Mus musculus: one gene and its partners. The protein of the gene in region 1 interacts with the protein of each later gene in a biochemical or structural test. Links are inferred from orthologs where the notes say so. Each region holds a gene or a part of one and is shown in the gene's direction. Other genes may lie near its edges.

Region 1 (3,754 bases):
TAGAGTTTCTTATCGGGATCTTGCTATGTAGCCCAGGCTGGCCTGGAATTCAGGATTCTCCTGTCTTAGCCTCTCAAGTGCTGAGATCACAGGTGTGTTACCATACTCACTTTTGCTTGCTTGCTTTAATTGTTTGAACTCTGAGACCTATGGACAGAATGAGGCTAACTAATTGTCTTTACGCCCTAGCCATTGTTTAGCCAAACTGAAGCAACTTAACTTCATTCCATTTACAGTGTTTTTGCATTGTTTTGTTTCTTTAGAGTCCACGAACACCCGGGTCCTGTACTTCAGCATCTTTTCCATGTTCTGCCTCATTGGACTAGCCACCTGGCAGGTCTTCTACCTGCGTCGCTTCTTCAAGGCCAAGAAGTTGATAGAGTAATGAGGCTCAGTGTTCTGTCCCCTAGAGCCAGCAGAACATCGCTGGGACATGCCTGGCCTAGCCCAAGGCCATTCTACTAACAGTACCATCAAGGCACAGCTGAGCTTTCTTGCCAGAACTGATACTTTTGGTATGAGAGCACATGGGCACCACCTATACCCAACAAGTCAATGAGGACTTTAATGCAGTAGGATTTGGACTGGTTTTGCAACAAGATTATTAAAGTCGCCTATGGAAAGAAAACAAAATAAAACAAAACAACAAACCGGGGTTACCTAGATAACGCCAAAGCCAGCCTTCGTCCTGGGTCGCCCGCCTCACAGGATCTGTTTGAGCTGTTTGCTTTTTCTCTCCCACCTGCTCATCGCCTTGTCCTTCACTCTAGTTCTCCTCCCAAGATTTCTCTGACTGCGGTCAGCTCTTTCATATCAGTTGTCTCTTTGGTTTCCTTGTGAAAACACCTTGAACTTCTCTTGGTCCTTAGATGAAATGTTTACATAGCTTCTGGTGATATCCTTCATAATTTTATGTCTCCTAAAAGGGTCATGGGTGGGACACATTAAAAGGTGAGCTTTGAACTGTAGATAATCTCTTAAAAAAATCTCATTTTAGACCATTAAAATGTTTGTGCTCAACTGCTTGAAGTCCTTGTGTATGTGTGTTTAGTTCTGTCCAGTTTATCACTTGTAGATCCTGTCGATCATTTCCAGGTAGAGTAGTTCCATCCCATGGTCTTCATTTGCAGTGTTGCAGCTAGCCACTCCCTTCTCCACCCCCCCCCCCACCCCCCCCCCGCTCTGGCTCCCTAATCTGCTGCCCTGTTCTGAACTCTAACTCTGTTATGTAAATGGGTCATCTAGAGTGTAACCTTTGGAGGTTGGCTTTCTCCACTCAGCATAATTCCCATGAGGTGCCTCTCCAAGGCGGTGCACATCCTGGTTTTCCTCCAGGCTATGGATGGTACTGCATTGTGCTTAAAGGTCATGTGGGTGGCCTGGGGATTGGGCCTAACTATTAAAGTTCTTAGGTGAATGTAAGTTTTCATCACTCCGGGATAAATACCTAAGAGGGCCGTTGCTGTGCTGTGTAGGAAGCACATGGAGTTCTAAAGGAAGCCTCCCTGCTCTGTCTAGAGTGGCTGTATGGCAGGTTACAGCTCTACATTCTCTGTGGTCTTTATCATTGCTATTTTAACTTCTCCCCTTGAGTGGATGCCTGTAATATCTCATTATGGTTTTAATTTGCATTTTCCTAATGGCAGATGGCGTTGAGCATCCTTTCTCATTCTTGTCGTTTGCCATCTGTCTGTCCTTGTCAGTGAGATGTCCGTTGGTGGCTTTTGCCCATTTCTATGTGGGTCATTTGTTCACTTCACTGTTGAGTTCTGTGTGGGTTCCTCTATCAAATGGGTTGTTGCTTGAACTTTTCATATAACTTCTACCAGGAAAAATAAGTAAATTTTACCAGCCCTTCATGTATGGTCAATCACTGATCTAACTCCTGTTCTTCAGTGTTATCTCTGAGATGTGGATATACGGGGTTTAACTTGGACATCTGGGAAAGTCACAGATAGTAAATACTTGAAATATATATGTTGTAAAATCAAAGCCAAGGTTCATTCGGTGGAAGTTTTAGGTACCTCAAGGCAGTTCTGGAAAGTGTACCCCAGTTTACAGTGCCTACCTACCATACAGAAGGCTCTGGGCCTGATTGCCAGTGGCGGGGGCGGGGGTGGGGTGGGTACAAATGCTTGTAAACAGGAAAAATACTTGTTTATCATCTAAAGTCTTTCCCACTTCTCCTGGGAAAGTGGGTAACCTTTTAACCCTGCTGACCTGTTACAGGGCTTATCTCAATTGCAGTTCTGAGAATTACAGGGCTTGCAGTAAAGAAGTGGAATATTGAAGTTACCAGAGAATACCGTTAGGATGACCTGGATGAAGTATGCAGGTGGATGGGAAAGATGTAGTGGTTAAGTCTCAGGCTGTGCTGTTAAGGTTCCAGTTACTATGAACTCAAAAGCCTTTGTCTTATGACTTCCATAAATTCCTCTTGCATGGCATCAAGTGTTCTCTGGTACAATAGTGCCATCTGCTGTTGAAAAATGATCTAAGATCTAAGATCTTAGAATACAAGTCCTCACCATGGCAACAGCAGATGGTCAGAAATCTGTAACATTCATATATCAAGTGATAGGAGAACAATGTAAGTATGAAAAGAATAAACTTTGGGGTCAAAATCCATTTGTAGACTTTTAAGTGCAAAACCATAGCCTGTCTGTCCCATTAGCCTAACAAGAGACTCCTGTTTTCTGACGTGTGCCTTCCCCCCTAAGGAGCAGTGACAGCCGCTCTATTAGATTTCTATTTTCTTTTCTGAAAAATGTCAATTTTTCAGAGAGGAGAAAATAGAGCATTCTGTCCATGTTTTTGTTTCCAAGAACAAGTATAAACTTAAGCTCTGTAGAACTGAAATTCTTTCAAGTCCTTTCGATCATTTTGATCATGCCCAAAACAACCAAACTGGACAACATGCTTTTCAGTTCAGTTGAAGAGCATTTGCCTTTGACAGTAGGCGTGCACAACAGCATATCCGCTTTATAAACAGGTATATTATCTGCTTCCCTCCGTTCCAGCATAGTCAAAATAACTGAGAATCATACAGTTTCAACAAACCTTGTTCCTTACCATTGTCATGAACCCCCATCAGAGCCATCTTCTGTTTGTTAATGGGAAGAGGCATGTGGGATTTATACAGGCTCACCTGTTGGAGATGTTTGTGTAAACTTTCACAAATAAAAGCTAGCAGAAACCATTTGAGGTGTATTTGTCTGTTAATCTTTAGTGCCCCTTTGTCTGGGTGAGCAAGGATTCCTCTATAATTGTTGTTTTTTAAAGCACAGGGAGTGAAAACAGATAAATTAAAGAAAAAAAAAGTCACTGATTTACTGCAGGGCACTTAAGCAAAAGGATGTTTTAATCATTATGCTAATGAAAGAAATCTTGAGCAGATTTCCTCAGAAGGCTAGAGCTTTGAGAGCCAGTAAGATGGCTCTGTGGATAAAGGTTTTGCCATGCAAATCAGGCAACTTGAATTCAATCGGCACACACACACACACACACACACACACACACACACACACACACACACAAAACAGAGCCCTAATCACCTACTCCTTTGCTTTAGTTTCCCACTGTCCACAGGAAACACCAAACTGTACAACATACAAAGTGTACTTCCTGCTTCTGCCCAACAAGTGTAATGGCGCCAGTCCCATAACCTTAGTTTCATCACGCCCTGCCCTTTCCTAATTCTGGGGCCAGACTGCAGGGTTTGCCTCTCAAGTTCCTCCTAACTAGCTGTATCACC
Region 2 (3,650 bases), on another chromosome or scaffold:
TTTACTAATCCATCAGGCAGCTTTTTTTTTTTTTTTTTTTTTTTTTTTCCAGTTGTTTCCATCAGGCAGTTTGGTAAAGGCGTAGGGGTAGGGGCTGAAGAGATAGGGCAGCTGTTAAGAGCATTGGCTGCTCTTCCAGAGGACCTGGGAGATTCCCAACACCTACACAGGAGCTCATGACTGTCTTTATCACTCCAATCCCAGGGATTCTGGTGCCTTCTTCTGGCCTCTTTGGGTACTGCACACATGTGGTATACACACATAGTTTTAGACAGACATGTATATACATTAAATAAAATAATTATTAAAAAGACTTAGAGGCAGAGAGGGATGGCAATGCACTCCTATTATCCCAGCACTTGGGAAGTATAGGCAGGATAATCATCAGGAATTTAGGATTGACCTCAGTTACGTAGGTGGTTCAAGACCAACGGGGGCTATGTGACAGACTACCTCAAAAAAGCAAAACACAGGTGGAACTATTGCTTAGTGTTAAGAATGCTTGCTGTTCTTTCTGAGTACTTGAGTTTGGTTGCTAGCACCCATGCTGGGCAGCTCATACTCTTTGTAACTCCTGCTCCAAGGAGATCCAGTGCTCTCTTCTGGAATCCATGGGCACTCCTGTGCGCATGCATGTAAAACACACAGAGAGAAAAGTAAATCTTTAATAAAAAGTAAATACACAGAGTGCTATAATCGTCTATAGAGGACTATACCAGCAAAGTCCTGTTTCAGTTTCTGCCTTAAAGAAGCCTCCACTTGGGGGCTGATGAGATGGCTCAGTGGTTAAGAGCGCTGACTGCTCTTCCAAAGGTCCTGAGTTCAAATCCCAGCAACCACATGTTGGCTCACAACCATTCGTAACGAAATCTGATGCTCTCTTCTGGAGTGTCTGAAGACACACTACAGTGTACTTACATATAATAAATTAATTAATTAAAAAAAAAAGAAGGGCTGGTGAGATGGCTCAGTGGGTTAGAGCACCCGACTGCTCTTCCGAAGGTGCAGAGTTCAAATCCCAGCAACCACATGGTGGCTCACAACCATCCGTAACAAGATCTGACCCCCTCTTCTGGAGTGTCTGAAGACAGCTACAGTGTACTTACATATAATAAATAAATAAATAAATAAATAAATAAATAAATCTTTAAAAAAAAAAAAAAAAGAAGCCTCTACTTGTGGAATTGCTTAGTAGAACTAACTTCTTTGAGAAGCCAGAGTCCTTCTGCTGTTGTGTTTGCCCTTCACATTATGTCTCTGGCCGTTTGTGAAAGCTTATGCTTTTTGGTGAGGAATAAAAAGTGGAAGGTCTGTTTTGGGGTAGCAGTTTTAGGGCCTTGAACCTTCCTTCTCCTTTCTCAACAGCTGATGCTTATGGCTGTTCTGAACTGCCTCTTCGATTCCCTGAGCCAGATGCTGAGGTGAGCAGCCATTCTCATTTTAAATTTGGAAGGGAAATACCTATTCCTTAGAGCCCGGGATTAGTGGGAAATCTGAGCCACACTGGGGAATTGGTTCAGTGTAAGACATAGACTTGCTGTTTGTGGATAACTAATTTGAGTGGAGGGTTAGGTGGAGAGAATGGTCTTCATGTGGAATCATTCTCTTACTGAGGGAGGAAAGAGAGTCCTTCAGGAAGAATACTCTATTCTCTGTTTCCTTTGGCTGCCCTGATGATTAGAACCAAGGGTAGGCAACTGTTCTACCACTGAGCTTCTCACCTAAACTTTTTCTTTATTTTATTTTTCTTTTAATTTAAGACAAGGTCCTAGGGGGAAAAAAAAAAGAAAGAAAGAAAGAAAGAAGGAAAGAAAGAAAGAAAGAAAGAAAGAAAGAAAGAAAGAAAGAAAGAAAGAAAGATTGATTCTGAAAACTAATGTAAAGGAACCGTAATCCTGTCACCAGAACACATCATGCTTAAGATTCAGTTGGGAGCAGAGCATATCAGATGCTCTAAAATAATCGAGAGGTTGATTATCTATAGCTTTTCAAGCCTTTTTGTGTCTTGACATCAACTTTTAACCTTAGAGTCTTTGATACACAAATAAAAATTTACCCAGGCTGTCTTAAGATTCTATTTGTAACCCAGGCAACCCTTGAACATGTAACCCCTGCTTCAGCTTCAAGAGTAGTTTGGAGTACAGACTCGGACCTCGTCTGTATGCCTGTACCTACTCTTGTCATGTCCAGTAACTCTGATGGTGTTCTGAGCCCCAGATGCTTTCCTAGGCCTGTCCGCTGGGTTTGAAGGAGGGGAAGGCCAGGGAAGTGACCCAGTGACCCAGGTGAAACTTCCCTATCTTGGAAAAGGAGGAAACACCACAATTTTCCATTGCTAGCCCTTATAGTCTTTCCCTGGACACAGAATGGGCCCACTGTGCTCTTTGCCCTCTACCTCCCCAGTAGCCCTCTGTTCCCACGCACACAAGCAAGGGAAGATATAAGATACTTTCTCTGAAAACATTCAAGGCTCTGAACTTCAGCCACAGCAGCTCCTAAAAGTGAACACATTTTAGAAATCCATGTGGAGTAGAACAGCGGGTGCTCTCAGCCCACAACCCAGCAGCCAGAGGCTCAGGTTTCCTCAGGAAGGGGGTGATTTATTTCCCAGCCAGGTGAATGAATAGACTTCATTTCGGGTAATCTAGAGAAAGAGTCATACTGACGGATGTGACAGGCCACATGCACCAACCACCGGATCTGAGGCTGGTAGATGCAGCCCCTGGCTGTTCCCAGCCCCTCCTTGGCCTTTGTTTTAGGGTTTGAACAGACCTGGGGGGAGGGGAGAGGCAGAGAGACTTCAGAAGGAGCTTGAACGCAGAGGGTTTTGCATTCCCACTCCTCCCACCTTTCCACCATCACCAACTCCAGATTATGAGCTATGAATTTTTTTCCTATCTTCTATGTCTTTTTACAAGCACCTCCACCAGCAGCAGCAGCAGCAGCATGCTGGATAAGTAGCCTAGGAGTCAGAAGTTAGCTGTTTGGGATCCCCCCCAGAATGTCAAGACTCTGGTCACTGTTCAGTGGTATAAAAGGCTCTTTTTCACCTCACTCCCTTCTACATGTGGGTGGTGGAGGCAGTTACTGGTTAGGGTTAGGATCCCTTATTTAGACAGTATCCCAGAATTCCTTTCTCACACAACCTAATTTTTCCTCTTCTTTTGGGGATTCAGGAAAAATGTAGAAAAGCGAGCTTTGCTGGAGAACATGGAGGGCCTCTTCTTGGCTGTGGATGAAATTGTAGATGGAGGGTGAGTTCTCTGCCCTGCCCGTATTTGGAGTGGGGAGGGGAGGTGGCTGCCCCTCAGCTAGTGAACCTGACTTACAGCAAATTGGTCCCTTGGAGCAAACAACCGTCTTCTTTGTGTTTGTAGGGTGATCCTAGAGAGCGACCCCCAGCAAGTGGTGCACCGGGTGGCTTTGAGGGTAAGCAGGGATGTGTATCCCATCTCTCCACGGATCCTCCCAAGCCAGGCTTGCTGGGTGGGTGTAGCTGAGGGTCAGCTTATACATAGGTCCCACCTTCTCCTGTCCTCTTCACACGAATGTATCATTCTCCCGGCTTCTACATCTCCATGTCCCAGAGAAGCAGAGGAGCTCACTTATGTTTCTAACGTGGCACCTAGCATATTATATGGTCTTTCCAC
Region 3 (3,650 bases), on another chromosome or scaffold:
TAAGGTGGTGCCTTCTTTGCCCAGCATGCTGGGGTTGATAGCACGTTAGCCGTTATTAATGCTGCCTGAAGGGCAGGTCATGGCCACCTGATCTTCATCCAACCCTTCTTCCCCACAGTGGCATGCACGTTCAGCTGTGTGATGAAGTTCACTGTTAAGGACTGTGATCCCAACACAGGAGAAATCGATGAAGAAGGCTATGAGGATGAGTATGTGGTAAGAGGATCCTGTCTGGGACTGAAGAGATGCATCAGCAGTTAAGAGGACCAAGTTCAATTCCTAGCACCCTCATAGTAATGAACTGTCTATAACTTCAGTTCTAGTGGATCTGATGCCAATTTTGGGCCTCTACAGGTGCTGCATGATTTTGGTTCACAGACATGTACAGATTTTTACAAATACATTTCTGATTTTTTTTTTTTTGTGGGTGGGGCGATTCGAGACAGGGTTTTTCTGTATAACAGAACCCTGGCTGTCCTGGACTCACTTTGAAGATGTGCCTGCCTTTGCCTCCTGAGTTCTGGTATTAAAGGCACGCACTTCCATGCCCAGCACATTTCTGATTATTTTCTTAGGATAATTCTTTAATTGGCTCAAAAGGAAAGCAAGATTTTTAAGACGTGAATTGCTCTTGTAATGTTGCTTTCTAGATAGCTAGGCCCCTTTGCTCTGCTGGGCCACAGTTCCTTAGTCACTAGCATGCATCTGACATTCACACTTGTGTAGAATAAGGACCAAAGTAGAGACGGCCATTCCTGAGCCAAAATGACTGAGGCAGGAACTGCCTTAAGACCTCTCCTCTCAGGAGCTATAGCTAGGGCGCGCCTTTCACTGGTTGCTGTATGCCCTGTAAACATCTGCAAGAACAGGTTTCTGTGAAGATCTGTTGGAAGAATGAACAAAGGAGTCCTTGCATGGACGCTGCTAGTGCAGGCTGGCTGAATGGGAGTGTTATGTCACATTCACAGCTGAGATGACAATAGGGTTCCGCCTATTTTGGGCCTGGAGGACACAGTTGAAGTACAGAATCTGCTGGAGAAATGACTTGTCGGTTGAAGCAGTGCCACTTACATTGTGTACCTCGGGCTTGCTCTGTGTCCTGAAGCCCACCATGTCCCCACAGTGGCAGGTATCTGCTGAGTGAGCTGCAGGAAGGAAGGGGGAAGGAGAGGAGTTGAGAGCAGAGGTCTAGAAATGTGGAACAGGAAGTCTCTCCCAAAGTCTAACTGTGTCTCCGCTTCTCTAGCTGGAGGATCTGGAAGTTACTGTGGCTGATCACATCCAAAAAGTCATGAAAGTGAACTTTGAGGCAGCCTGGGATGAGGTTGGGGATGAATTTGAGAAGGAGGAAACGTTCACCCTGTCTACTATCAAGACACTCGAAGGTAAAGTGCTGCTGACGTCATCTCTGACGATACTGTGGCTGGCCAGTGTGCCTTCCCGCTTCCCACCAAGAATCCAGAGCCTTAAGGGATACCTAGCTTGGGACTGACTGGGGGGAGGTGGGTGGGGGTGGGAAGTGCATACTTAATGTGTTAGGCCCAGGATTTCACTAGCACCCAACAAAAGCACACAAATACTCATATGCCTGTGGCTTAATGTTGCTGGGATTTTCCCTACAGAGGCTGTGGGCAATATTGTGAAGTTCCTGGGAATGCATCCTTGTGAGAGGTCAGACAAAGTGCCAGAAAACAAGAACACCCACACGCTGCTGCTAGCTGGTAAGAAACGTCTGTGGCCTGAGTAGCTTCACGGTGGGAGTGCCACTGGGTTTTGTCTGCCGCCATCCAACTTCCCCCACAGCAACACCTGTGTGCTCTCATAGTCCTGGCTAGGCCTTGTCCTTTATCCTATGGGATTGGCTGCAAAGGGTGTGGCATGGTGGCTCTGGTCATCTGAAAGCAGTAGGTCTGTGGTCTAAGGCTGAGGATCCAAATGCCATCTCCCCAGCCCCCGATGCACTTTTAAGGTAGTTTTTGCATTTTGAATGAAGTGTCTTCTATTCATATTTCTTTTTCAGTGACTTGTCTGATGTTCCTTTATCTAAGTATCAACTTTATTGGGGTTATTTTGTTGTTGTTTTTTGTTTACTTTATTAGAAGAGTGGGTGTGGGGCCTGGCCTGGTAACTCACTCCATAATTTCAGCATTTGAGAGACAGAGACAGGAACTTTTGTGTAAGTTAAAGCCAAGGGCTACATATTGAGACAGTTTCCAGAAAAACCTAAGCAAAGCAAAACAAAATTCCCAGTACCCATAGTTGACAACTGTCTGTAATTCCAATTCCCCTGGATCCAACACCTTCACACAGACATGTTGCAGTAAATTTCCAACCCTAATAAGCCCAGGTAATGAAAACACAACTCAGTTCATTTGAATACATGCTGTGCGCCTAGTTTGGGCAGATCTACCACTACACTAGCATCTTCCCCGTAGAAGGAACCCCTTGTAACTTGCAGTTTCTCAAGGCCAGGTGCTTCCGCTCTACCTTACTTCTCCATCCTCCTCCTCATCCTCTCCCCTCCCCTCCCCCTCTTCCTCTCTTTTCCATCAAAACCTTCAGCTTCACCTGCCCCTCTTTCTCTGCCCAATCACCGTCTCTAGCCTTTATTTATAAATTAAGGTGGGAAGCAGGTTTACAGGAAATCACCTGAGTGCTGACTCATTCCTTGTTCACAGCCACTCACAGGAGAACAGAATTAACATCAAATACAATTAGCCCCAGTGCCATCCACAACACAGACATACATGCATGCAAAACACCTACATAAACGTTTTTAAAAAATAAGTTAAAAAAAATGGCTGTCTACATTTCATCTTGGAAATTTCCCAACACATACAAAATTAAATGGTACATATAATGAACACTACTGCTTAATTCTTGAAGCACCTGCGCCCACTCTTCCCTAGAGTATTTTCATGCAACTTATTTTGTAATTCATATATAAATACTTGCTATCCTGTGTTTAGCTCAAAAATGGCCAAAGCTTATATTGCCCTAGACATTTGTGGAAATGGAGCTGAGAATGAAACTCAGTGATTAAGGCTAGGCAGATTTCTGCAGCACAATCTTCATGTATAACCCTAATTCCTTGAACTTGTAATTCTCTTGCCTCGGCCTTCAGTAACCCACCACACCTGACTTTTATCCCTCCGCAGGGCTGATGGTCAGACAAGGCAAGGCTAGGCAAAGCAAGCAGTCTGTTGTTGAGACACACCGAGCCTTGGATAGGTTTTGTGTGTGTGTGGGTGGGTGGGGATAGTTATTTTGGGAGTTGGGGGCTGGGTGTGTTTACAAACATGGTTGGGAAGGCGTTCTGCTTCAGTGAGTGCTCAGCAGAGCACTCTGGCCTTGATGAAGCAACTCAGTCCCCTGGGTCTGTCAGACAACTGCTTTGTGGTTTTTTTCTTATAGGGCTCGCCCCCTCATCCACACTCTCAGATTCAGCCACTGTCTGTGAGCCTCTAATATGAGGTATAAGCCTTACATACCCGAGCGTTCACTTGAGCCTGGCAGGAGGCTCAGGTGATGTATAGTTAGTGATGTATGCAGTGATTGATAGTTACTGCAGCACTATGTCCTTAAGGGTTCCAGAGCTCAGGGAAGCAGTGAGAGTTGTCCAGGCCTCCCAGTTGTGCCTCAGTGTGTGC

The links.
Region 2: the proteins of Tmed10 (region 1) and Copz1 form a complex in vitro, tested with the Homo sapiens proteins (2 studies listed by BioGRID, with this or other methods). The link is inferred for Mus musculus from reciprocal best matches to the Homo sapiens genes TMED10 and COPZ1.
Region 3: the proteins of Tmed10 (region 1) and Copg1 form a complex in vitro, tested with the Homo sapiens proteins (2 studies listed by BioGRID). The link is inferred for Mus musculus from reciprocal best matches to the Homo sapiens genes TMED10 and COPG1.

Annotation. Positions count from the first base shown.
Region 1 is NC_000078.6:85,340,059-85,343,812, reverse strand, and holds the end of Tmed10 (transmembrane emp24 domain-containing protein 10 precursor), read left to right. Parts: intron 1-263; coding exon 264-385; 3' UTR 386-3,199; downstream 3,200-3,754. UniProt on the Homo sapiens protein: Cargo receptor involved in protein vesicular trafficking and quality control in the endoplasmic reticulum (ER) and Golgi.
Region 2 is NC_000081.6:103,293,357-103,297,006, forward strand, and holds part of Copz1 (coatomer subunit zeta-1), read left to right. Parts: intron 1-1,365; coding exon 1,366-1,421; intron 1,422-3,176; coding exon 3,177-3,254; intron 3,255-3,377; coding exon 3,378-3,429; intron 3,430-3,650. UniProt on the Homo sapiens protein: The coatomer is a cytosolic protein complex that binds to dilysine motifs and reversibly associates with Golgi non-clathrin-coated vesicles, which further mediate biosynthetic protein transport from the ER, via the Golgi up to the trans Golgi network.
Region 3 is NC_000072.6:87,908,418-87,912,067, forward strand, and holds part of Copg1 (coatomer subunit gamma-1), read left to right. Parts: intron 1-118; coding exon 119-216; intron 217-1,246; coding exon 1,247-1,385; intron 1,386-1,622; coding exon 1,623-1,721; intron 1,722-3,650. UniProt on the Homo sapiens protein: The coatomer is a cytosolic protein complex that binds to dilysine motifs and reversibly associates with Golgi non-clathrin-coated vesicles, which further mediate biosynthetic protein transport from the ER, via the Golgi up to the trans Golgi network.